Linked DNA regions of Danio rerio. The protein of the gene in region 2 binds, or shares a complex with, the protein of the main gene of each other region. Links are inferred from orthologs where the notes say so. Each region holds a gene or a part of one and is shown on either strand. Other genes may lie near its edges. The genes, in order: eif3f, eif3ja and eif3ba.

Region 1 (8,164 bases), on a different chromosome or scaffold from region 2:
GCGAGCCCAATAGAGCAATTGTTTACAAGTGTGGAGTCCCGTGAAGGACCTCTGGATGGAAAGTTTTGTGTTTACCTTACGGATAAAGTTGTTGCATGTCCGCCGGTTCCTGCCTCAAAATGAGCGAGTTTGAACCACTTGTAAATTAAGGAAGCGTTCAGAAAACACAAAACACAGGCGAAGAAACTCGACACAGAGGAACATTAACACCTCACTGCCAACTTGCGTTTGGGAAGTGTTATTGCAGAACAACAGAAACAGCGTGCAGAAGGATGAATAAGTATAATATTTTGTACTGTAATCATGGCAAAAATGAAATAAGTTATTAGAGATGAGTTATTAAATCTATTATATTAAGAAATGTAATAAACAATCTTCTCTCCGTTAAACAGAAATAAAAAAGACCTACAGTTTCGAATAGAGCTGTGAACCTACACTAGTCTCACAGTTCGGTTCTGATTATCATGCCATCAATTCGGTTGAATTCGATATTTCGGTGCATCACGGTGCATTGACGGTGCTTTTCATACAGAGTTTTATATTTTCTTCACAGCAGCAGTTCTTGTATTAAAATGTATGAAGTTATTTATATTTACATATTATTTGTAATACAATTTTGTCATTTAATGCAAACAGTCAGATATATAAACTGTAACTTTAAACAAAACGAGCATTAAGCAAATAATATAAACAAATATAAATATCAAGCTCAATTTCTGATCCTTGTCTAGTTCTCTCACACCTCTTTGATTGGTCACACCCTCAACAAACACGGTTGCGATAAAAAACGTAAGTGCTGCGCTCTTCACAGATGAGTGACACTGATAAGCGGCAGGGGCGATCTCACAGCTGATGTATGATAGACATGGTGGAGAAAACTCTGAAGACACGCGCTCGGTTCTTTAGCCACTGTGTGTGTGTGTGTGTGTGTGAGAGAGAGAGAGAGAGAGAGAGAGAGAGAGAGAAATGGAGTACTTTCATTCTCTCGATCTCAGTGAAATAGTTGTATATGTCAGTGAAAGACTGATCCAGCAAACACACAGTGAAATCGTGCACAGTTTATGAGTTTTAAGTAGTTAGAGCGTTGTAAATACTCACTATCGCCTCCCTCATGACAGAGCGCATATGAGGTAAATGACGTCAGTATTAACCAGTTATGATTATTACTGAACCGATACCAAATTGTCCATGTCTGCATCGAGGTGCACCGAAGAAACGATTAATTTTGACACCCCTAGTTTCTGACTTAAACTGTATAAATTATTATATCATTTGCTATAAAAAAATCTTTGATAATATAAATATAAACAAGCATTTTCTATATATGCATATACGTGGATACATGCATTTATTTATACCCATAACAAATATGCACAGATAGTACACAACATTATTATGTAAACATAAAATTTTAATTCATAAGCGATTATTGTACACTAGTCAGCATTTGTTTGTTGTGGTTGTGTTACCTGACGTAGGCCCGGATGTTCATTTTGTTGCTCTGCAGTGCCGTGTCCACAGTGAGGTGAATAGGGTTTGGAGCCTCTCTGCTGTAATACTCATGGATCAGAACCGAGTGCTCAGTGATGTCAAATCCTGTGGCATACCTGCAAAAACAACACAGCCTCTTTCTTCAGTGAAACAACATTCCTTAAGTTTATCTGAAATCAGATTCTATTATTATATTTTGAAATATTTTAGATAGTCATTTTTGTAATATTTTCCATTTTAAGTTCTAATAATTCTGTTACCTGTATAATTATTCTTTTTTGATATATAGATATAACCTACATTATGGAAGCTACCCTGTCACAGTAATCAATATATGAACTTATCGCATTGATAAGCCGTGTCATATTATATTGACATGACCTCAGACATTTTTAGTGATGCAATATATATCGCCCATACATAAAAATGAATTCTAGCAACATTTCAGCTGGTTTTGCAACATCTCGATCTCTATTGAGGTGTCAGTATGGTTTAAAAAGCTCTACAGGTTTTACTATAAATTGCTATAGAAGATTTTCATGTGGGTGTCTGACAACTAAAAATAGATCTGCTAGCAGATATCACAGCTTCTGTTACTTTTTGCCTTGCACCTTTTTGTTAACATTTATTATTATTTATGATATGCGTTTTTACAATCTCATTCCAAAGCCATAGGATAACTAAATTAAATAGTCTTAACAATAAAATATTATGTGTTCTTTGTATGAGTGTACTTGCATTGTGGTGATATTATATTGTCATTCTGGTATTATATAATGAGTGGCATAGAATGGTATTAAAATCACAATAAAATCATTTATCGCAATGTATTTTGGTGCAATATACCGTACAACAAAAACTAGATATATCGTGACAGGCCTAATGGAAGCTTGCTTTTACAATGGAATAAAAGGCAAATATACTTAAAAAAAAGAGTAGCAATATAAACTGAACTGTAAGAACAACAAATGAAAATGAAATGAATATCTGAATTGTGAAATATAAACTTGTAAACATGAGATATACATTTAAAATGGCTGCAAAAATAAATCATGGGACTGTAGGAGAAAAAAATATCATTTTATTTAATTTTCTTATTTTAGTTATTTTACCATAGCGCAAAGCAAAATGCATTAAATGAAAAATAACAAATGTTCACAAAAGTTTCTAAACCTTCTAAAAATATAACAAAAAATGTGCTTACAACAATAACTTAACAAAACTTTAGCAAAGAAAAGAATTATATTAATTTGGAAATGCGGCCACATACCATCCAACAATGACTTCACTCGGCGAAACCTTCTTATGAAGCTCATACATGTTCTTGGCGAACTCCATGTCAACAGCCACCTATTTAAAAAAAATAAAATAAAAATAATTTTAAAAGGTAAATAAATTGCACAATGATGATGATTAAATGCTGGTGCTCCTTAGTAAAGCATAAATAACATATGGTACATGTCCAAAAATACAGTAGCATGTAACATGACACTTTTGAATTAAGTTGGTTTTATATTTGAACATTCAGACACTCGTGTTCAATAAAATAGTAAAGCAAATTTTAAAGAGGCTAATACAGATTCATTCATTTTCTTGTCGGCTTAGTCCCTTTATAAATCCGGGGTCGCCACAGCAGAATGAACCGCCAACTTATCCATCAAGTTTTTAAGCAGAGGATGCCCTTCAAGCCGCAACCCATCTCTGGGAAAAGGCTAATACAGATAAATTAGCAAATTGTTATAGTTAAAAAAAAAAAAAAAAAGCTTATGAACTCTATGAAAGGTCCCTACATTGTTTACCAGGCTACATTGAATAATCGGTCTGAAATGCATGACTTCAAAATAGGCATGGGACGATAACCGTTTTCAAGGTACACAGTGATTTAAAAAAAAAACTGATGTTTTAAAACCGCCAAAATTATCTGCTATAGATGAATTACCAGTTTGTAAACAGTAAAAAAAAAAAAAAAAACTGGAGCGCTACCATTTAGCAGAGCCGTAATCACTATGTAATACTGTGAAAATGTGATATTTATATTAAAGAATATTAACGTCAGAATTGTATACCGGCCCATGCCTACTTTAAATCCACATTAGCACCATTTAACTGACTGTAAACAATGTTGTACTTTAATAGTCACTGGCTGTTAATTTGAGTTGACCGTTTAGGATTTGACAAAGAATACCTTTCTGAAATTACATTAAGAAGGTGAAAGTCTGAATGTGCAAATATAAAATCAACTTTACCTCACTTCAATTTTGGCTGATGGTTTGTAAGTGTATTTCAACCAATCAATTAGCTAAAGATGCATAACAACAGAACATGAAATACCACAGATGTCTCACTCGAACCCTTTAGACCATTACAAAGTTACAGTGAGATACCTGTGATGTGAAATTGTTTTGTTTTTCGTTATGCCTAAAAAGCTACATAAATGTCTGGCACACACTAATGTAAAGGATGTATTAGATGATGCTTTTTTTCTCACCTCATCTTCAGACTCGTTGTGAGGAACAGAGAAGCAGTTGGTGACATCGACTGAATGTTTATCTGCTGTTCCTGTTTGACACACAAACACAACCACCAGGTAAGTGATGCTGCTGATCTGTACAGTTTCTCATCCACCCCAGCCATTCAGCTCGACTACAACACATGCTCCACAAGACCAAGCGACGCTCATGTTGTTTGTAATAATCGCAACTGTCTCATAAATCTCACACAAGAATTCAATGACCCACCTAATAATGTCCCGATCACGCGACTCGCTCCTTCATTCCTGCGCTCGTATGAGTCCACAATCGAAGCCAAAACCACCGGGTGGATTTTCACGACCGGGCCGTGCACCGCCATGATTTCGAAGAGGAAGTAAAAGATGATGATAAACAGAGAAGAAGAGCGCGTCAGTGGGATTCGCGCTGCCGCCCCCTAGCGGATGTAGGTGGCTGACAAAATAATGTGTAAAAAATTATAATCAAATAAATAATTAAACACAGCATGTAAAGTTTTAGTGGGTGGGTCAGGTTAAAGTTCTTCGAGGTTTGCTTGGTACATATCCATTTTTTCAATGGACAATTTAATAGCAACACAACTGCATGTTAATGCCAAAAATCGGATCAGCTAACCACATGGCAGCAATCCAAAACATTTAGACATGATGAAAACATGGCCAAGACAACGCACATGAAAAGATAATGGAGTAATTCATAGTAAATTGGCTACGATAGTGTTTTTGAAACAAATGATAGTAAAGTTTATTATACTGTAGGCCTATACTATAAAGTATTAAGTTAACAACACATGCTAATAAATGCTACTGCATTATCTATAATAAACTGTGTAGGCAACTGTAGTATATTTTAGTTTTACAACAGTAAATTGTGATGTATTATCATGTAGCCTAATATATAACTAACCACAGGCTATTGGGCAACTTGTTTTGCTATAGGCCTAGTTGTTGTAATAACATATCATTTAGGCCAGAGGTATCCAATCTAGGGCATGTGGGCCAAACTTGGCCCTTGATAATCTTTGATTTGGCCCACCATCCCATCTGAGAAGAGAGACTGATAGGGAGGGTTGGGACAATTGCCTTTAACAGAGATCTTAATTTCTAATTTAACGCAACCTTGGTTTGTTTGATTATTTTATTGCTGATCTACAAAAAAAAGGTAAATGAAAATAAACAAGTCAAGGCAGAGGGTGCAGCTTTACTAGTGTAACTCCATTCTGTTTTAAATGAATTTTGTTTTACTATAAAAAGTTCATTATACAGGTGAGGCAGTGGCGCAGTAGGTAGTGCTGTCGCCTCACAGCAAGAAGGTCGCTGGTTCGAACCTCGGCTCAGTTGGCGTTCCTGTGTGGAGTTTGCATGTTTTCCCTGCCTTTGTGTGGGTTTCCCCCACAGTTCAAAGACATGCAGTAAAATGGGTAGGCTAAATTGTCCGTAGTGTATGAGTGCGTGTGTGAATGTGTGTGTGTGGATGTTTCCCAGAGATGGGTTGCGGCTGGCATAAAAAACTTGCTGGATAAGTTGGCGGTTCATTCCGCTGTGGCGACCCTGGAATAATAAAGGGACTAAGCCGACAAGAAAATGAATTAATGAATGAAGTTCATTATATAATAAAATCTGCATAAGATAATATGAAGCAATGTTAAAGTTATTTTTAAATATTAAATTAGGAAACCACCAATGCAACTTTAATGAAATAGAGTTTGGTATGTTTACATTCGGCCCACCACCCTCAATCAAGCCCTTCATAGGAAAAAGTGTGGGCACTTAATGTAATTTCAGTGAGAGACATTATTTACATTATGTCTTTGGAAACATTTGAAAAATCTTTGTTATTTAAAAAAACAACATGCATTTTGGACTACTGGTGGTGCCTTAATTTTAAGTTTCAGATGGAAACGCTGAGTTATATTGACACTGCCTGTTGATATTTTTACATCAAAATAACTCAATATTACAAACATAAGAACAATTCAAATATTAGTATCTGCCACATTGTGTGTTTTTTGGTTGCAACTTTCAGACATGTGGTTTCTGACTAGCGACTGCTGTCTTGCACATAAAATAATGAGTGGCTTAGTCCATTCATTTATCAGGGGTTGCCACAGCGGAATGAACCACCAACTATTCCGGCACATGTTTTATGCAACGGATGCCCTTTCAGCTTCAACCTAGTACTGGGAAACATCCATACACACTCATTCACTCACACACGCACACACACGCATGCACACACACACACACACACACACACACACACACACACACACACACACACACACACACACACACACACACACACACACACACACACACACACACACACACCAGTGAACTTCTTGCTGTGAGGCGACAGTGCTAACCACTGAGCCAACATGTCGCCCGACCCCCACACAGTAAGTCCAAGATAAGTGTGTTTTTAAATGATAAACACCATTTACATTATATTAGGCCAACTACCCAGGGTTTCTTTTAAATTCCTTTGGGTTTCCATTACCATTTTTAATGCACATTTTGAAGTATCACATGAGAAACAAGTAATGGAAAAGCTAATATTAAATAAAAGTAGGTTAACAAAAAAAAGGTTTTACAGTTGTAACATTTGCTAAATAATCTCAGATATAGCGAATATTACAATATAACCAATCAGCTGTCTCCATTATGCTAACCTTGTTTACTGTATGTTATAATCAGCCACTCTAATAAAAAGCACCTTATTTAACACATTTGAGATATTGCCTTTCTTTTTGTTCTTTAAAGACTTGCTTCACAATGCAACCCTGGCTTTGTGTGGATTGCCTGAGCATATTTCAGAAACTGCAAAGTTTCAGGGATTTTTTTTCACTCACAAAATACCAAGGGAGTGACATTTCTCATGGGTGAAAATGCATTGTTGATGCCAGAGGGAAGAGGCGAATGAAAATAAGCACTTGTTACAATTGAGTTCTGCAGGAGAGCATCTCTGAACACAACATGTCAAACCTTGAAGCTGAAAACTACACAGGAGACACTCCTGTCAGATAACAAAAGAAACCGAGGCTACAATTCACCAAGATACACTAAATTAGACAGTAGACGACTGGAAAAGTGTTTATCTGGCTTGACGAGATTCGAATTCTGCTTTGACTTTCAAATGGTAGTGTCAAAAGAACTGGCATGAACCACATGAAAGCATTAAGCAGTATATGAGAAGTTCAAGAAAGAGCATAGACCTGATTTATTCTAGTTTGATTTAATTTCTAGCTTTTATTAAAAATAATTATGAGTAGATTCACATTTTTGCATTAGGTGAATTTTTAGTCATTGGTTAATCACAATTTTGCTTGAAAAAAAAAATTATATATATATATATATATATATATATATATATATATATATATATATATATATATATATATATATATATATATATATATATATATATATATATATATATATATAGTCATTCTACAAGATTTTGCAGAATAAATGGTGACAAACCAGAAACACAAACTGTTGTGTGTGCCTGCAGCTCTCAAGGTCATGTTTGTAAGCTGCAAGGCAATCCAGGAACAATGAAGGAAAAGATTGGACTCCAAATCCAAGGAAAAACTCGTAAACAACCTTTGACGTCAAGGTCACAGGAAGACTAAAGCATGCCGGGTGCCAGAAATGACAAGAAAACTTTATCACTACTATTTTTTTATGGTTTACTTTGTCAAAACAACTTGTTAGGATTTCAGTGTAGGCTGTTGACTGCTCACAGCAAGAAGGTTACTTCGAGTCCTGGGTTCTGGGTAAGTTGGCCTTTCTTTGTGGAGTTTGCATGTTCTCCCTGTGTTAAAATGGGTTTCCTCTGGGTGCTTCGGTTTCCACCACAGTCTAAAGACATGTGGTATTGGTGAGTTGGATGAATTAACTTGGCCGTGTGTGAATGAGTTATTTCCAGTACTGGGTTGCTGCTAGAAGGTCATCCGCTGACCCCTGTGACCCCTGATAAATAAGAGACTGAATGGAAAATGAATGAATGAATTAACATTAGGTTAAGTTGTCACTCCTGCCTTGACGGAGGAAATTTGACTGTACAATATGCCCAGCAGATGGCAATAAAGTTCATTACTTTCATAGCTCAAGTGCAGTATTCTTATGGCTTGATCAACCCAATTAAAACACAGACCTCAAAGA
Region 2 (6,736 bases):
CATGTTACCCAAGACGGATTGACCTCAACCGTACACCCCTTTTATATAACGGCCCACAAAACCAAGAACGCTCAAGAAAAAGCAAACCTCCTCCCTCCTTCACGACCAATGGATTACGTTTGTTGAGTCTGGATTTGCTGTTAATTATCCCCAAGTCTTATCTTTACAATCGCTCTGTTGTTTTCCTTTTTGTTGGAAAACCAGTGAGTTGGACTAAGGGGAAAAGACTGGACCCTTTGTGCGCAGGTCACATGACCAATAGCAGCAGGTGCAATTGACGGCGCGATCAAGATAATCGGCCACGAGCAACAAGGACACGATTGGGACATTGGCAGGTTATCTGAGAAGACCTGTGTGCGCGTGTTTTCATAAGCTGCTGCGCCATAAAACACCAGTTTCCGTCTGGCATTCGGTTTTCTGTTGAACGGTTCTTCAAACAGTCTCAAAGGTCACGCCCCTGACCGCTTTATCCTTAATGAACGTCTACTTCAGATTGTAAAATATTAGATGATGAAACTAGTTAAAAAGTACACTACCTGACAAAAGTCTTGTCGCCTATCCAAGTTTTAGGAGCAACACATAATCACTTGACTTCTAGTTGCTCATTTGGTATCAGACGTAGCTTAAAAGGCAAATGCCTCTATATTTAGCTTATTTGACCAAAATAAAATAAGATCATGCCTTGATTTTTAATGATTTAATTAGGACGGTAAGGTAGTGATGGTGACATGAAGCTTTCTGAACCATTAAAGCGCTCGACTCAATTGTATCGGAAAAATATTCGTTACTTGAAGCTTTCTAAATCAGAGCTCGATGAGGACCTCTTCTGGTTAAAGTGTGGGAAAGCATTGTGTTGCAATAATTTCAAATGTTCACTACTGACCAAGGGTTTACTCAGTTAGCTGGATTTGGATATTGACGATTTGACACGATCCAGGATCGTTTCGTTCTTCAAGGCTGATCCGAGAGTTGTTGTCATAGCAACAGTTCTGGTAGATCAGACCTGCTCGGCAGCAGGTTCAATTCATATAAACAGGATTAGATCGGCTCAGTGCATGCAAAGAAAATACTGAAAGTATGTACCGAATGCTGATATTTTCTTACAGTAGTAGTTATATACACGTGAAAAATAGTAACTATTTTTAACTATAAAGTTATAGTTATTAACAAAATAAATACATATGAATACATATTAAGTATATTAGTACATATTAATTACATATTAAGTTATACATATTAATAAAACTTATGCAATCTTCACCCTCGAAATGAAAGTACAAAGTCTGCCACCTGGTGGTGCAAAGAGAAAACTTACTGGTATGAACTTTCTAGATCGCTTTAGAACAAATTGTGTATAATAGAAATGCATAATATGTGACTTTTTTTAAACGCAATAATACATTTATGCAGTCATAAACATGTTTTGATAGTTAATATGCCGGTGATTTGATGCTTCACGAAAGTTGCAGACGCCTTTACCAATATCAAAATGCTTTTGTAAACATCAAGTTATTATTTACACCGATTAAAAAACGGCGACTATAATAAAGAAAATCTTTTCTAAATGTAGAACTAAATACATTGAAATACATGATGAATACCCTTGACACATGAAAATGTAAAGCCTGCAGCTCACAACAAATGTGGAAGGTTATTGCGTGTCATAGTTAACAAACGTTTTACCTCTAATTTGATGTAATTTTGCTCACATGGATAATTGAACATTAATCAGTTGATGTCATCACGCTGCCGTCAGCCAATCGCTGCATTGCTGATCATGATTTCGATGATCGATAGTTCTTTCCTTCACAACACATCCAGTGATCTCAGATCAGTTCATCCAGACATTCTAATCTGATTCGCGAGTTTGAAGAACCAAATTAGCCAGAGGTCAGTTATCGAGATGAAAAGATCCAGGATCTGCCAAATCATCTTAGATCATTTAAGCGAGGTAAGAAGAACGGACCCCAACTCATTCATGTAGTAATACAACAACAGTAATATAAACAAATTACTCATTTACTGCTGTTTTTACACTTAAGGTAAGCTACATTACAACCACCGATGACTGTAGTAAAATCCAAGGTATTTACATTCATCATATACCCACTGGTCCAGTTCCAAGCAGGGATCGAACCAGCAATTCCTGCATGAGAGTGGAATGCTCTAAAGAGGAGGCTAAATCATTTACTAAGTACAAAAGTACAATTATTAAGCACATTTTAAATGTGGTTATAAGTCAAGAATAGAGCATTTGTAGCTGCAGTTATAAACTGCTTACTAACGTTTATTAATGCTTAACAGATAATGAATTCACTATTTGCTGATGCTTAATAAATGATTTATAGTGCGTAGTTATTATAAAGTGTTACCGAAATGTTTTGTAACTTTAATAAAGATTAACTAATATACAATAAAGACTATGCATAGTTGATTATTTAATACCTGAAAACTATCATTCACTTTTATCTCTACTATACGTTATTGATCTATGTTTGTAATTTATTTGTTATATATTATTCGAGATTCCTTTTAAATCATCTGATGAAATTGTATTCACATCATAATATATAAATCACAGAAATTCAAAATACCGTAATGTCAGATTTTTCCAATATCGCGTAGCCCTAATTCAAGTTTACAGATATTTGTTCAACTAATTTCCATGACTTTTCCAAAACTTCTCCAGGCCTGGAAATTGCCATGTCAAAGCTCCATGACTTTTCCAGGTTTTCCATGACCGTATAAACCCTGTCTCTAGCCCTCAGAAAGAATCTACAAGCTCTAAAAATACACTACCAAAAAAAGCAAAGAACACACAACCACTGCTGGATTTTAAGCAACTTTTATTAAATTAGATCTTTATAAAACAGTGCAGAGTCCTATCATCGGCTTTGCTGATCGTAAGCCTCTATGAAGCATCTCTACCACGCTGCGAATTGTCAATAAAATGGAAAGCCAAACGCCGGCTGAAAAGACCCTACATCGACGTTCAGTCCCTTATACATCAGCATAGCGTGTGTGTGAAATCACGCTAGCATGGCTGAGCTCAAATGAACCACGGCATAATGTTATATCTGTAAATATTTGCGTAATTCACTCTGCAAAAATTGAGGTAATCCAAATACCGCTGCGACGAAAACAAATCAGAGTAATGCTTTTGGTCTGAGACACATGGAATGCATTACGAGCTACAAACGTAAAGGCGTTATTGTCAATGCGTTATGCTCACGTTAATTACGCTACACTCTAGATTGACTTATCTAAATGAGCTCACTATAGCCTACGATCAAAATAAACGTGATTGTACACATGATTTAGAAACCACGTGACTTCGATATCAACATTTCGGGTTGAGTTAATCGCCCTGGTTTGCAAAAAGGAACATCCCGTAGACAAATAAAGGGTTAATGTCGCGTAATGACATTGAGATCAATCCGGACTGAATTTTGCATAGCGTCATTTATTTCCTAGAAATACCGAACAATAACACTGTTTGTTTGTTTGTTTGTTTGTTTAAGCCAGGGCTGTGGGGATTAACTGATACTGCAGGTTCACATTTGTTTTATCGGGTTTATTATTCCAACCTAAAGTCACGACAGGCCAGAGGGAAAAGAGCGCAGTTTATTGGTACTCTCTGATGGGAAAGTGTGCATTGCGTGGATGACGTTCAGAGTTATTTAGCATGTTCTGGTTGTGGGCCTGACAGTGGGAGAAGGTCATGCTGTTAAGGTGTGTGTGGTTCAGCAATCAGCAAAAAAAGTTAGAGTTGGGTTAAGCCTTGGTCACATGAAGTCCTCATAGTCTTGTGCATAACCGCCTTCAAACCCGCCGTAATCTGCCAGATCGTCTTTCATCTTGGCTTTTAAACCTCCCCCTGGTAAAACTCCCTTCTTTTTCTTTTTACCTTTGTTTGCCTATAGAATAGGAGGAAAAAACAATTACGAACACATTTTATATTAAGGTACACAGTAATCTGTGTGGAGTTTGCATGTTCTCCCCTTGTTGGCGTGGGTTTCCCCCACAGTCCAAAGATACACGCTATAGGTGAATTGATTAGATTAAATTGGCCAAAATCAGTGTATGTGTGTGCATGTGTGACTTGGTGTTTCCCAGTGATGGGTTGCAGCTGGAAGGGCATCCGCTACATAAATCAAATGGAATAAGGGACAAAGCCGAAGGAAAATGATTGAATGGGACTTGCAGCACAGACAGTAAGTAAACCCTTTCACAAAATCGATTTCGTGGAATTGAATCGAACGGATTTGTTTGTGTGGATGGCCTTTGCATCCACGGTTCCGTCACTTGTTGAACAGGTGGCTCGAAATGCGGCTACCGATAAACAGCAAAACGGATGAACTTGGGACTGATGCTTTGCATCGAACATGCGCAATGTATACAAAAAACTCAACACAAGTAAAGAATTTGCCTGTCCGTGATGCTGGGGATACAAGCAGAGGAGCTGAACATGCACTGCTGCATGGGCCTCTGGCTATGATATTGCCGGTTGGGGGAATGTTTCTAATATAAGTCGCAAGCAGATGCCAGTATTAGCAAGTCATGAAACTGGACACCTCAGATGCAGTTCTAGACAAGTGTATCTGTCTGCAAGACAAGGTGTAACATGGAGGGGCGTAACTTGTAGTAAGTTAGAGAGGTGTAACTTACAGTCATCGAGATCCCATTGCGAGATGTAACAAGATGACAAAAATACTTAACAGAGAGCATTTTCATGAGCTTTCTCCGAATTGATCCACAACCTATTCATTTGATATATTATTACATTCATTTAGCAACTCCACCATGCAACTTACTCGCCGACTTCATCCGTTTTGTCATGACAGTACTCGGCATCGCCTTCTGTGGTTGCAAAAACAGTACAATGGCGAGCACATCAAATATGACAGTCTCCGCAACTCGCAGCTGTACGTTAATAACTGATGGTTGGGTTTAGGGAAGGTGTAAACGTTAATAATGATGATGATTGGGTTTAGGTGGGTATAGACGTTATTAACTGTGATGGCTGGGTTTAGGTGTGGAGTAGACATTAATAACTGATTGGTACATTTTGACATGTGGGTCTTCATAACTTCAAGTTATGCCTCTACCACAAGTTACGCCCCGGTCTTGCAGTCCACACACAGACCCTACTTCTTCTAGAAGATGGTGAAATTCATTAAGGTTTGTGCGCCTCTTTGTGGTGACATAAACCCAAACACAACAGCATTTTAGAGAATGTGTTTATATCCATGTCTATACTCACAGGATGTTCTTCACATCATTTGTGATGATAAAAACATTTGTGCGAATGAATGAAGACTATCGCACAAGTAATTTAGAGCGAATGAATTGAATGCTCTCTTTGCATTTAGTGTGAACACGACATTAGAGCTTCTATAGACCATTTTGACAAATGTAAACAAAAACCATTTTCCCAACGTATTTCCTGTTTTACATTTAGCTTTCGACAATCCAAAAAGAGCCACATGTTGATAGATGATGTTATGACAGCCGTTTTAACATGAACTTATGATTGAATTGCCTATAGTTATGAAATACTTTGATAACCAGCAGGAAATGTTTATGGGCGACTGATATGACCATATTGAAATGGTCTACATTTACCCTTTTAAACTAGATTTTAAAATTACCCAAAATTCCCATCACTAGACTTGATTCAATCTTTAGATGTGCTGCGTCTGAAACCGCATACTTCCAAACTATATAGTACGCTAAAATCAGTATGCAAACCGAGTAGTATGTCCGAATTCATAGAATTCGAAAATCAGTATGCGAGAAGTACCCGGATGACTTACTACTTCCGGCGAGATTCTAGAGTGCGCATCCCATGCATGCTGCGCTATCCAATGATGCCCCGCGAGCGAATTCATGAATGGGAGTAAAGCGACGCAACTGACGCAGGTAGGTCACGTGACCATGACAAAATGGCGGATGTAGTCTGTCCGAATTCCATTCATACTTTTCACGTTCATACTGTATAGAACGTACTTTTCTAACGGCCGAGTAGCACGTTTAAATTCAAATGCAGTACCTACTGAGTAGTAGGCGGTTTCGGACGCAGCCATGGTTTCTTTTCAAGTTACTCTCACATATGTCCCTTGTATGCAAATTGCAGACTTTACTGTCTACGTCTGCCTGAATTCATCATGTAATTTTCCCAGAAATCATTCACTATTTCCCTGGAGAGTACAAAATTGATAGGGAAGTGCTATGGCCGATACCGAAAGCTTGTCAGACATAGCGAAGGGTGAATTGCTTTGTTTGCCATTTTGAAAGAGAAATTCAATTAATCGCTAACTAAAACACGAACTTGGCAGCACTAGTTGGTGGTTTTAAATGGTGTGATTATTTATCTACACCAGGCCTAAAGCATCCAAGGTGTCAGCACACAAACTCAGCTAAGTAACGTTTAATAACACTTAAAAGAAAATAGCAAGATGTAATTTGTGAATATCATGCCTGATTATTTAGGAAATCTGGTAATTGTTGCATTAAATGGTTTTCATACCTTTTCTTGCCTCTGTTTTTCACTTAGTAACACTGTTAGTGAGGTGTTAATTTTCTTCAAGTCTTCAACTTCCACTGCAAAACCAATTCAAAATGTCAGCAAAATACATGATTTACAATGAGAATGACGGAACAGTCAGCTGAAATGAAGCATACTCACATGAAAGACACAGATCCCTAAACAGTGTTTCTAAAAAGCCGGAATAGT
Region 3 (8,164 bases), on a different chromosome or scaffold from region 2:
TGCACCTGAACAGTGGAGTGGCTTACTTACTTTAAATCCAAAGAAAGATATCTAAGGATGCCTTTTCAAGTTCTTTTCAAGAAATCTGTATTTTGTAAACTTACAAAGATATCAGACGTCAATGATGTATTTAAATATTGAGCCTGACCTGTTTAATGCTCCAATTTTTTATGTTTCTTAAAATAAAAGAAATATTCTGTTCAATAGGAAAAAACATTTTTTTTTAACCCAGATATTTATTAAGAATATTTTATTGCAGTGATCACAATACTGTGAAACTGTGACATTTTTAATCAAGATTTTCATACCATCAGAATCTTATATCGACCTATTCCTATTCCTAAATTTGCATATAGTAGCTAGAAGGTTCAGTTTTTGAGAGTTAAAATATTTTATTAAATAATTCAAATATTTTGATTATCAAATATTTAAGTCTAAACAACATATATTTTTGAATTTTTGCATATTTTTGGTACATTTTGAGTGCAACTGATGAGCTGCAAATGTATTTATTATATAAATTAATCAGTCACAGAGTCTTAGAGGTCATCTGATTTCTGAAATGAAAACTCGGCACATTTTGAGCACAAATTATCGAATGGTTTCATAGGATTATGACAATTAGAAAATAAGGGCATGTATTTTTTTATTTATTTTTTTATTTACAATAGGATGTATGCACAGCCACACAGCAAGAAGGTTGCTGGTTCAAGCCTTGGCTGGGTCAGTTGGCGTTTCTGTGTGGAATTTGCATATTCTGTCTGCGTTCGTGTGGGTTTTCTCCTGGTGCTCCGGTTTCCCCCACAGTCCAAAGACAAGTGGCACAAGTGAAATTGGGTAGGCTAAATTGTCCGTAGTGTATGACTGTGAATGAGTGTGTATGGATGTTTCCCAGAGATGGGTTGCGGCTGGAAGGGCATCCGCTGTGTACAAACATGCTGGATATGTTGGTGGTTCGTTTAATAAAGGGACTTAGCTGAAAAGAAAAAGAATGAATGAATGAATGAATGAATGAATGAATGAATGAATGAATGAATGAATGAATGAATGAATGAATGCATGCACAGCCAGTGCTGGTGAGCTGTCTTTTCATTACAAAAACCAATTTTAAGATCTGATTTCTTTAAAAATCAGTGACCTTCTCTGCCTGATAGATTTTAAATAAAGTGGGTATCAGACCTGACAATAAGAAGCATTAAATTCCACTTTCTCCACTTTATCTTTAAAATATGAAAATGTTCATCTACCCCTGTATTCTGTATTCAACTAAATAAATACCTACTGGTTATACATTACAACATCGATGCTGTAAAGGAACCTTATGAAATTGAAAAGTCACATAAACCTTTCACTGGAAGTTTATCGTTGGCTGGAAACACTAGCTGTGCACAGAGCCCATTATCGGGGGTTCCATATGCTAATGTTATAATTAGTTTAATGATGTTTGAGGGACCTAAGAGAAGATTTAAACAATGGTTTCTATATACAGTACTAGGAAAGATTAGAAACAGTAAACGATAAAATGAGTTTTAATAATTTTTTAGGTAATTATGATTTTACTCATTACAAAAATAAAGTGAACCTATAATGGACAAAAATCTGACACTGAGAAAAACATCGCAAAATAGACGGTTTTTGAAATGAGATGGATCCTGAAAATTTGATCATAAAAACAGAACAAATGAAAGAATCCAAAACAAATCTGAGACGAGGAAAGACTATTTGCGATGTTATTGAGGATTGTAAATTGGGTCTGTCCGGGTTTATGCAGCATTGGAGAAAAAAAAAAAGATTAATCAGAGTAAAAGGATTGAAAAAAGCAGAAATTGGAAACAGCGAGTAGGAAGACCAACAAGAAGATGGAATAATAATATCAAAGAATGGCTAGGAGGAAACGAAACGTTTTCTAAATGATAGTATCAAAAAAATCCCCACTGCCCTCTCCTGCAGAGGCTGGTTGTATTCTCTGTGTTGTAGACCTACACAGACCTGCTTCTGCAGCTGATAATTGCTGCAATGACAGAGAACACACTTTTTTCTTGATCATCTTTGTAATTAAGCATTTTATGTACTGATTCCATTTATATTTAGTGTTACCTAAAAAGTTACCTAAGCAACCTCAAAGTGGGAACACACTAGCATCTCAATTGTCACCCAGAGCAGAGCGATGGGCAGCTACAAAGCCGATGCTAGTGTGAATGAGGCATAAAACTGAAAGCTGTAGTAATGAAATAAGAGCTGAAGCAATTGTTGATGAGAGATGAGCGATGCGCAGCACACAAACAGCATGGGAAGTAGTAGTGGTTTTATCAAATTATGTACATTTAGGGTTCTGTTTTAAATAGGTTCTGTTTGGTCCTATGAAACACTATTTAAACACTATTGAAGGTGTATGATGGTGATTCATGTCATAAGCATGGCAGGTCCATGAGAGTAAAATTGTGGATTTCTCTGGGTTTGAACATTCTTCAAAACATTTGGTATACTGCAAGTACAAAAGTCAAAAAGGTGGTACTGGACATTTCATTTATAGCACATTATTTTCTTCATTCTCTGTTTTCACCTGGGGATTCTTATCCCGAGGCGCCTAGATATTTTGCAGCACCATTAATGCGATCCTAGAAATGATGCCAAGGTCTTTATAATCCTGGACCAGGCCGAATCCTGAGCTGACGCTGCGGCAGTCATAGAGAGCAAAAGACTGATTCCTGAAAGACCCCAGTGACAGAAGAGCCTTCACATTGGTCCTGTGGGTTAGCCTAAGCACCCGCCGGTGACCTACTCACACCTGCAGTTCTACATAATGGACGTTCAGCATTCTCCAGCATCTGGCGCCTAGACTGCAGCTCTGCACAGGAAGTTTGGCCATGGTCATGCCCAATTGAGCCTAGTTTCTTTCAAGGTTTTTTTTTCTTCACTTTCATCAATTGGTAAAGTTTTTTTTCTTGCCACTGGCTTGCTTGGCTTGGGACATTTGCTCTTCAGTGTTTGGACTTTCAACAGTGAAATTTAAACCACACTGAACTGAAATAAATTGAACCTCAACTCTGAAAACTGGATTTAGAGTTTCAATCTACTAAAACTTCTATCTAGGTAAAGCTGCTTTGACACTGTCTACGTTGTAAAAGAGCTAAAGAAAAAGACATGAATTTAATTTTAATAGAAAAATTGTACATATTGTGCCTTTAAGTTTGCATATTTTATAATAGTATAGAAATGTTTTGATTGTTATTAACTTAGTGTTATTGTCTATCTATCTATCTATCTATCTGTCTGTCTGTCTGTCTGTCTGTCTGTCTGTCTGTCTGTCTGTCGCCAGAGATGGACAATAGAACTGATGGTAACATTGCGCGCTCTTGTACGGGAGGTTCTTGTCACATGAACAGGAAGTTCAGAGAGCGATAAGCAGAAGACGAGACCAAGTTCACTTAAAAGGGGTCTGCCATGTCATATTCCACAACAAAACTACACATTGTATACAATTTAACCAAATATCATAAAAGTGTTAAGCTCACATAATCTGCCAATGAAGCAAATTTTTATCCTTTTCCTTCAATTATGCTGTACATGAATCCTAACGCTCCAACAGAGCCCTGAGGTGCTCTCCGCGCACATGGTACGGTCCTTCTCTCGCTCGCAGTGGTTGGCGCCGGCTGCTTTGCACATGGCCGAGTGAGTAAAATATCTGGATTACTGCTGTGAAATTCACCACCACCTTCTAACCAGCACAGACCCACAGCAACCGATCTCTAAATGCGAGATACGGAGAACATGGAGGCCGAAATGGAGTATGACGATGAAGAAGAGCCTTCGTTCAGTGATCCGGAGGACTTCGACGATGACATCAGTGATCAGGGTGAGAGAGAGGCCTGCTTTAGCGCGCCTGCCGATCCCAGTCTCACACTAAACCCCATAGCTCAGCATGTCAGCCACGAGCTAACACAAAAATCCTTTGGTTTATTTGTGTGTCAATCTTTCAAGCTGATAAACTACGCTGTTTCACAGTTAATGCCGTTTTATGTTAGTCAAAGCTTCTCTTTAAGTCCAGCATGTGCGCGAACTAGACAAAAGCATCTTAGCAGTAGCTTTAGGGAAATAGACTAACGTTAGTGTCGTAACAGCATAGAGTCAGCAGCTGTTATGCTTTTGGCTTCAGAAACGTCATTGTACTGCCGTTTTGCTTTAACAAATGCTGTTGTGCTAACTGTACTAACTCTATCTGTGTGTTTTCTGGTCATTCAGAGCTGCTGGGGGATGTTCTCAGGGACAAACCGCAGGAGGCTGACGGCATCGACTCAGTCATCGTGGTTGATAATGTGCCTCAGGTCGGACCTGATCGCCTGGAAAAGCTCAAGAACGTCATTCACAAGATCTTCTCAAAGTTTGGCAAAATCACCAATGAGTTCTACCCTGACGCAGATGGAAAGACCAAGGGGTATGTTTGGGTCTGCTTGGTGCGTTTTGGGATGTAGGGATGCACCATTGGTGACATTTAATCAATAATTGATGCAATACGTAAGGGTAGTTCACCCAAGCATCAACATTTAGTCACTGTGAAGTTGGTTCTAAATGCTTGTTTTTATTTTTTCTAAAATTGTTTGGACGAATGTTGGAAACTAACCAATGATATCCGTAGTATGAACGTTTTTATGGGATTCTATGGCTTGCTGGTTCCAACATTCCTCAAGACATTTTCTTCTCTGGTGCTCGAGTAAATTACAGCATTTTCATATTGCTTGAACTATCTCTTAAATTCATTAGACACTTTATTATAAAAGAAAACAAATATTTAAGTAATCTGTCAAATGCCATTAAAACTAACTAAAAACCAATAATGTTTATTAGCAAAACACAAACTGCATTTGCAGAAAACTGTAACATTGCACAAATATAACTTATCTTTCTTCATATCTTATTATCTTCATATTGAAATCTGCAAGTAATTAACTGCTATTGGGCATCTCGATAAATGGTCTTAATGTGCTTCTTTTTTTTTTTTTAAACATATGCTTTCAAGTCTTTCTTGTAAATTTGGAAGTTCTCAGATAACAATTATTTTAATTTGACGTTACAAGTACTACTGTGTGTGACTAAAAGGCTTAAATGTATTGGTGGTTTAACCATTACAGAAAAAAAGAGGGCAGCTGTGGCACAAACCTTACATTTTTTTTATGGTCTAATAAAATGAGTTGAGCACAAACTATCTGTATTAGTTTTTAGGTTTCTGTTAAGGTTTTAAAGTGTATATGTGTACTAGTTATTAATGGCATGTTTGCAATGTTGTATATATTTTCTATGGATTATAGGACGTATTGACAGATCGCACTATTATGTCTTCTTTTTCATTCTTTTAAAACCTATTTATTCTTTGTTGATTTTATTTTCTTATACTTTTATTCCTGTTTATGTAAAACACTTTGAATAACCACTGAGTATAAAATGTGCTATAGATATAAACTTGTCTATAATAATTTTCCATGCTTTATCATTACAGGTACATTTTCCTAGAGTATTCTGCACCAAGTCACGCTCATGAAGCGGTAAAAAACGCTGATGGCTACAAGCTGGACAAGCAGCACACCTTCCGTGTCAATCTGTTCACTGACTTTGACAAGTAAGTTATCTTTTAGGGTCTGCAGTAGTGTACTGCAATAGGTTGCTTTAATGAAAGAACCTTTACAGTGTTGTATAATTTATACTCAGTATTGTCTATCATTTCCAGAATGCATTTTGGCAAGCTGTTTCTAATGCCTCAAACTTCATTTAGGGCAGATCAGTTCGTCTCTCAATTTAGCTTGAAATATATCAGGGCTGTGCAGATGCTGATATCAGTATTAAAAAAATCTATTAATATTTAATAGATTAATATTAAAATGTAATTTTTTGATACCTTTTGGGATATTTCACCCCAATTGTCGCCTTTCTTTTGCTTTAAGCAAATATTTCAGCTTCTTTCTTCTGATGAACAAAAATGAAGATATATTGCAAAAAGCTGAAAACTGGTAGTCATTGACTTGTATTTTTGTTTCACTATGGAAGGCATTGGCTACCATTATCCAACATTTTTAAAATATATTTTATGTTCGAAAAATAAACTCCTGTAGAGTTGGAACCACATGAGGGAGAGTAAATGGTGAGAATTTATGTTATTTTTGGGTGAACTTTCCTTTTAAATAAAGCATACTACTTGGACTGCATGATGTTGGAAATAACTGACGCTACAATGTTAGATTCTATGTTTATTGCAATATGAAAACAATTTGACAGGATATCTTTATTTAGAAAAGAATGTTTTATTTTTGAATGACTGGGGTGATTTTGCAGAGGAGTAACTCTGCATATAAATAATATCAAATTACAAATCATAAATTAATGGAATAAAACAAAGACCGAAGTAAAAGAAACATTGCTTGTTTTCTGGGCAGTCTTGACAGTATTCAGGGACAGAGCATAATCCAATTTAAAATATGTTACATATTCTATAATCTGTAAACAAAATGCATTTAATCTGTTAGAATGTTTGCACAGCAACAGGCATTAACAAAATGTACAAATGAAAAGTCTCACTGTCTGGAGCTGTAGTTAGAAACATAGTTCCTGGCTGTGTTCTATTCCCACTTATCCCCCTATGCGCTATTCATTTAGAACATTCTAATATTAAAAGTTGGTATTGTTAAAAATAAAAAAAAACATTAAGGTCATCTCTCTTAGGTGTAATTTGCTTTCTAACTATTTTTACGGTTCAGTTTTAGCGATCTTCATGTTTACAAATGTGCTACCTTCGCAGTGCATTTTGAAAATATTGATATAATTTTGAACACAGCCTCATGACGAAAGCTGTGGGAGACCTATTATTTAAAAGCAGAATTTATGCATTTAATACATGAATTTTAATGTATATTACATATACATTTATGTAGATTTCAGTAAAAATGAAAAACAAGTGCATGTTTTTTCCAACTCTAATATTGGATTTTATTTTAAATGCATGTGTGTATAAAACAATATAATTGGCACAAAGAATTTGAGTTTTTCTCTAAAGATGTAGTTACTCCACCCTGTTTAGAGCATCATTATGGGCGTTTTATGTTAAAACTAACGTGGTTCAAGCGATGGATCTGCGACAGAGAAACCACGAGTTTTGGGAAATATTTGTCACGACATCGTTCTTTTCCCAAACGATGCAACGTACTATGATAGTTCAGCTGCGAGTTACGTCGTTGTTTGGGAAACGCACCCCTGACCGATGGTGCATTGTCATTTGGGATTCCTGCCTGATACCTTGTGATGTGACTTGCAGATGCATACATTGTGATGCTGCAGCCCTACATACTTTGCTATACATGCAAAAATGTGGCACATACAATAACATGGAAGAGAAAATCAGGTGATGCATTAATAATCAACTGATCACTAATCTAAAGTCTTTTATCCACATAGGTACATGTCAATCTGTGATGAGTGGGAAGCTCCTGAAAAGCAGCCATTTAAAGATTTTGTGAGTTTAATAATATTTTTGATTGTCATTGTCGTCATAACCTACTGAAAATCTTTTATTACAAAAATTAATGAATGTTAATATTTGGTGTTTCTTTTACAGGGTAATCTGCGCCACTGGATGGAGGATCCTGACTGTCGTGATCAGTACAGCGTTATCTATGACTCTGGTGAAAGAACGGGCATATTCGCCAATGATGTCAAGGAGCCTATTGAAGTGGAGGAGAGAGCGGTGAGTTAAGTGTAATGTTATAGAAGACTATCATTCATCTGTAAGAATATATAGATATTGTGGACGTGCATGCTCTGACAATCAGTATTTTTCTTTGTATCTTACTTGTAGCGCTGGACTGAGACATACGTGCGCTGGTCTCCGAAAGGCACGTATCTGGCTACATTCCATCAGAGAGGCATCGCTCTGTGGGGTGGGGAGAAGTTCAAGCAGATCCAGAGGTTCAGTCATCAGGGGGTTCAGCTCATTGACTTCTCTCCCTGTGAGAGGTATGTCATGTTCTCCTGTTTAGAAATGGCCTCATGTTTGTATTTTAACACATTTTGCTCCCTGATTTAGACTCAAATAAACATTCCATATGTTTTTGTTTCTATACTGTACGTACTATCACCCTATCCTCAACCCAAACCTCACAGGAAACAATTTTACTTTCTA

Evidence for each region.
Region 1: eif3ja (region 2) and eif3f share a complex: the UniProt entries of both Homo sapiens proteins name them as parts of the eukaryotic translation initiation factor 3 (eIF-3) complex. The link is inferred for Danio rerio from reciprocal best matches to the Homo sapiens genes EIF3J and EIF3F.
Region 3: the proteins of eif3ja (region 2) and eif3ba are in contact, whole or in part, in an NMR structure (PDB 2KRB), measured with the Homo sapiens proteins. The link is inferred for Danio rerio from reciprocal best matches to the Homo sapiens genes EIF3J and EIF3B. Residues at the interface, in NP_003749.2 of Homo sapiens: Asp45, Glu46, Asp50, Asn51, Trp52, Asp53, Asp54, Asp55; in NP_001032360.1 of Homo sapiens: Lys202, Asn205, Val206, Ile207, Lys209, Ile210, Lys213, Asn249, Ala250, Asp251, Gly252, Tyr253, Lys254, Leu255, Phe261.

Annotation. Positions count from the first base shown.
Region 1 is NC_133176.1:11,699,381-11,707,544, reverse strand, and holds the start of eif3f (eukaryotic translation initiation factor 3 subunit F), read right to left. Parts: upstream 4,369-8,164; 5' UTR 4,342-4,368; coding exon 4,230-4,341; intron 4,051-4,229; coding exon 3,980-4,050; intron 2,842-3,979; coding exon 2,762-2,841; intron 1,608-2,761; coding exon 1,470-1,607; intron 1-1,469. UniProt on the Homo sapiens protein: Component of the eukaryotic translation initiation factor 3 (eIF-3) complex, which is required for several steps in the initiation of protein synthesis.
Region 2 is NC_133200.1:34,318,691-34,325,426, forward strand, and holds the end of eif3ja (eukaryotic translation initiation factor 3 subunit J-A), read right to left. Parts: coding exon 6,689-6,736; intron 6,604-6,688; coding exon 6,530-6,603; intron 3,918-6,529; coding exon 3,786-3,917; 3' UTR 2,830-3,785; downstream 1-2,829. UniProt on the Homo sapiens protein: Component of the eukaryotic translation initiation factor 3 (eIF-3) complex, which is required for several steps in the initiation of protein synthesis.
Region 3 is NC_133178.1:40,716,062-40,724,225, forward strand, and holds the start of eif3ba (eukaryotic translation initiation factor 3, subunit Ba), read left to right. Parts: upstream 1-3,623; 5' UTR 3,624-3,753; coding exon 3,754-3,856; intron 3,857-4,242; coding exon 4,243-4,435; intron 4,436-5,494; coding exon 5,495-5,614; intron 5,615-7,440; coding exon 7,441-7,498; intron 7,499-7,600; coding exon 7,601-7,729; intron 7,730-7,840; coding exon 7,841-7,998; intron 7,999-8,164.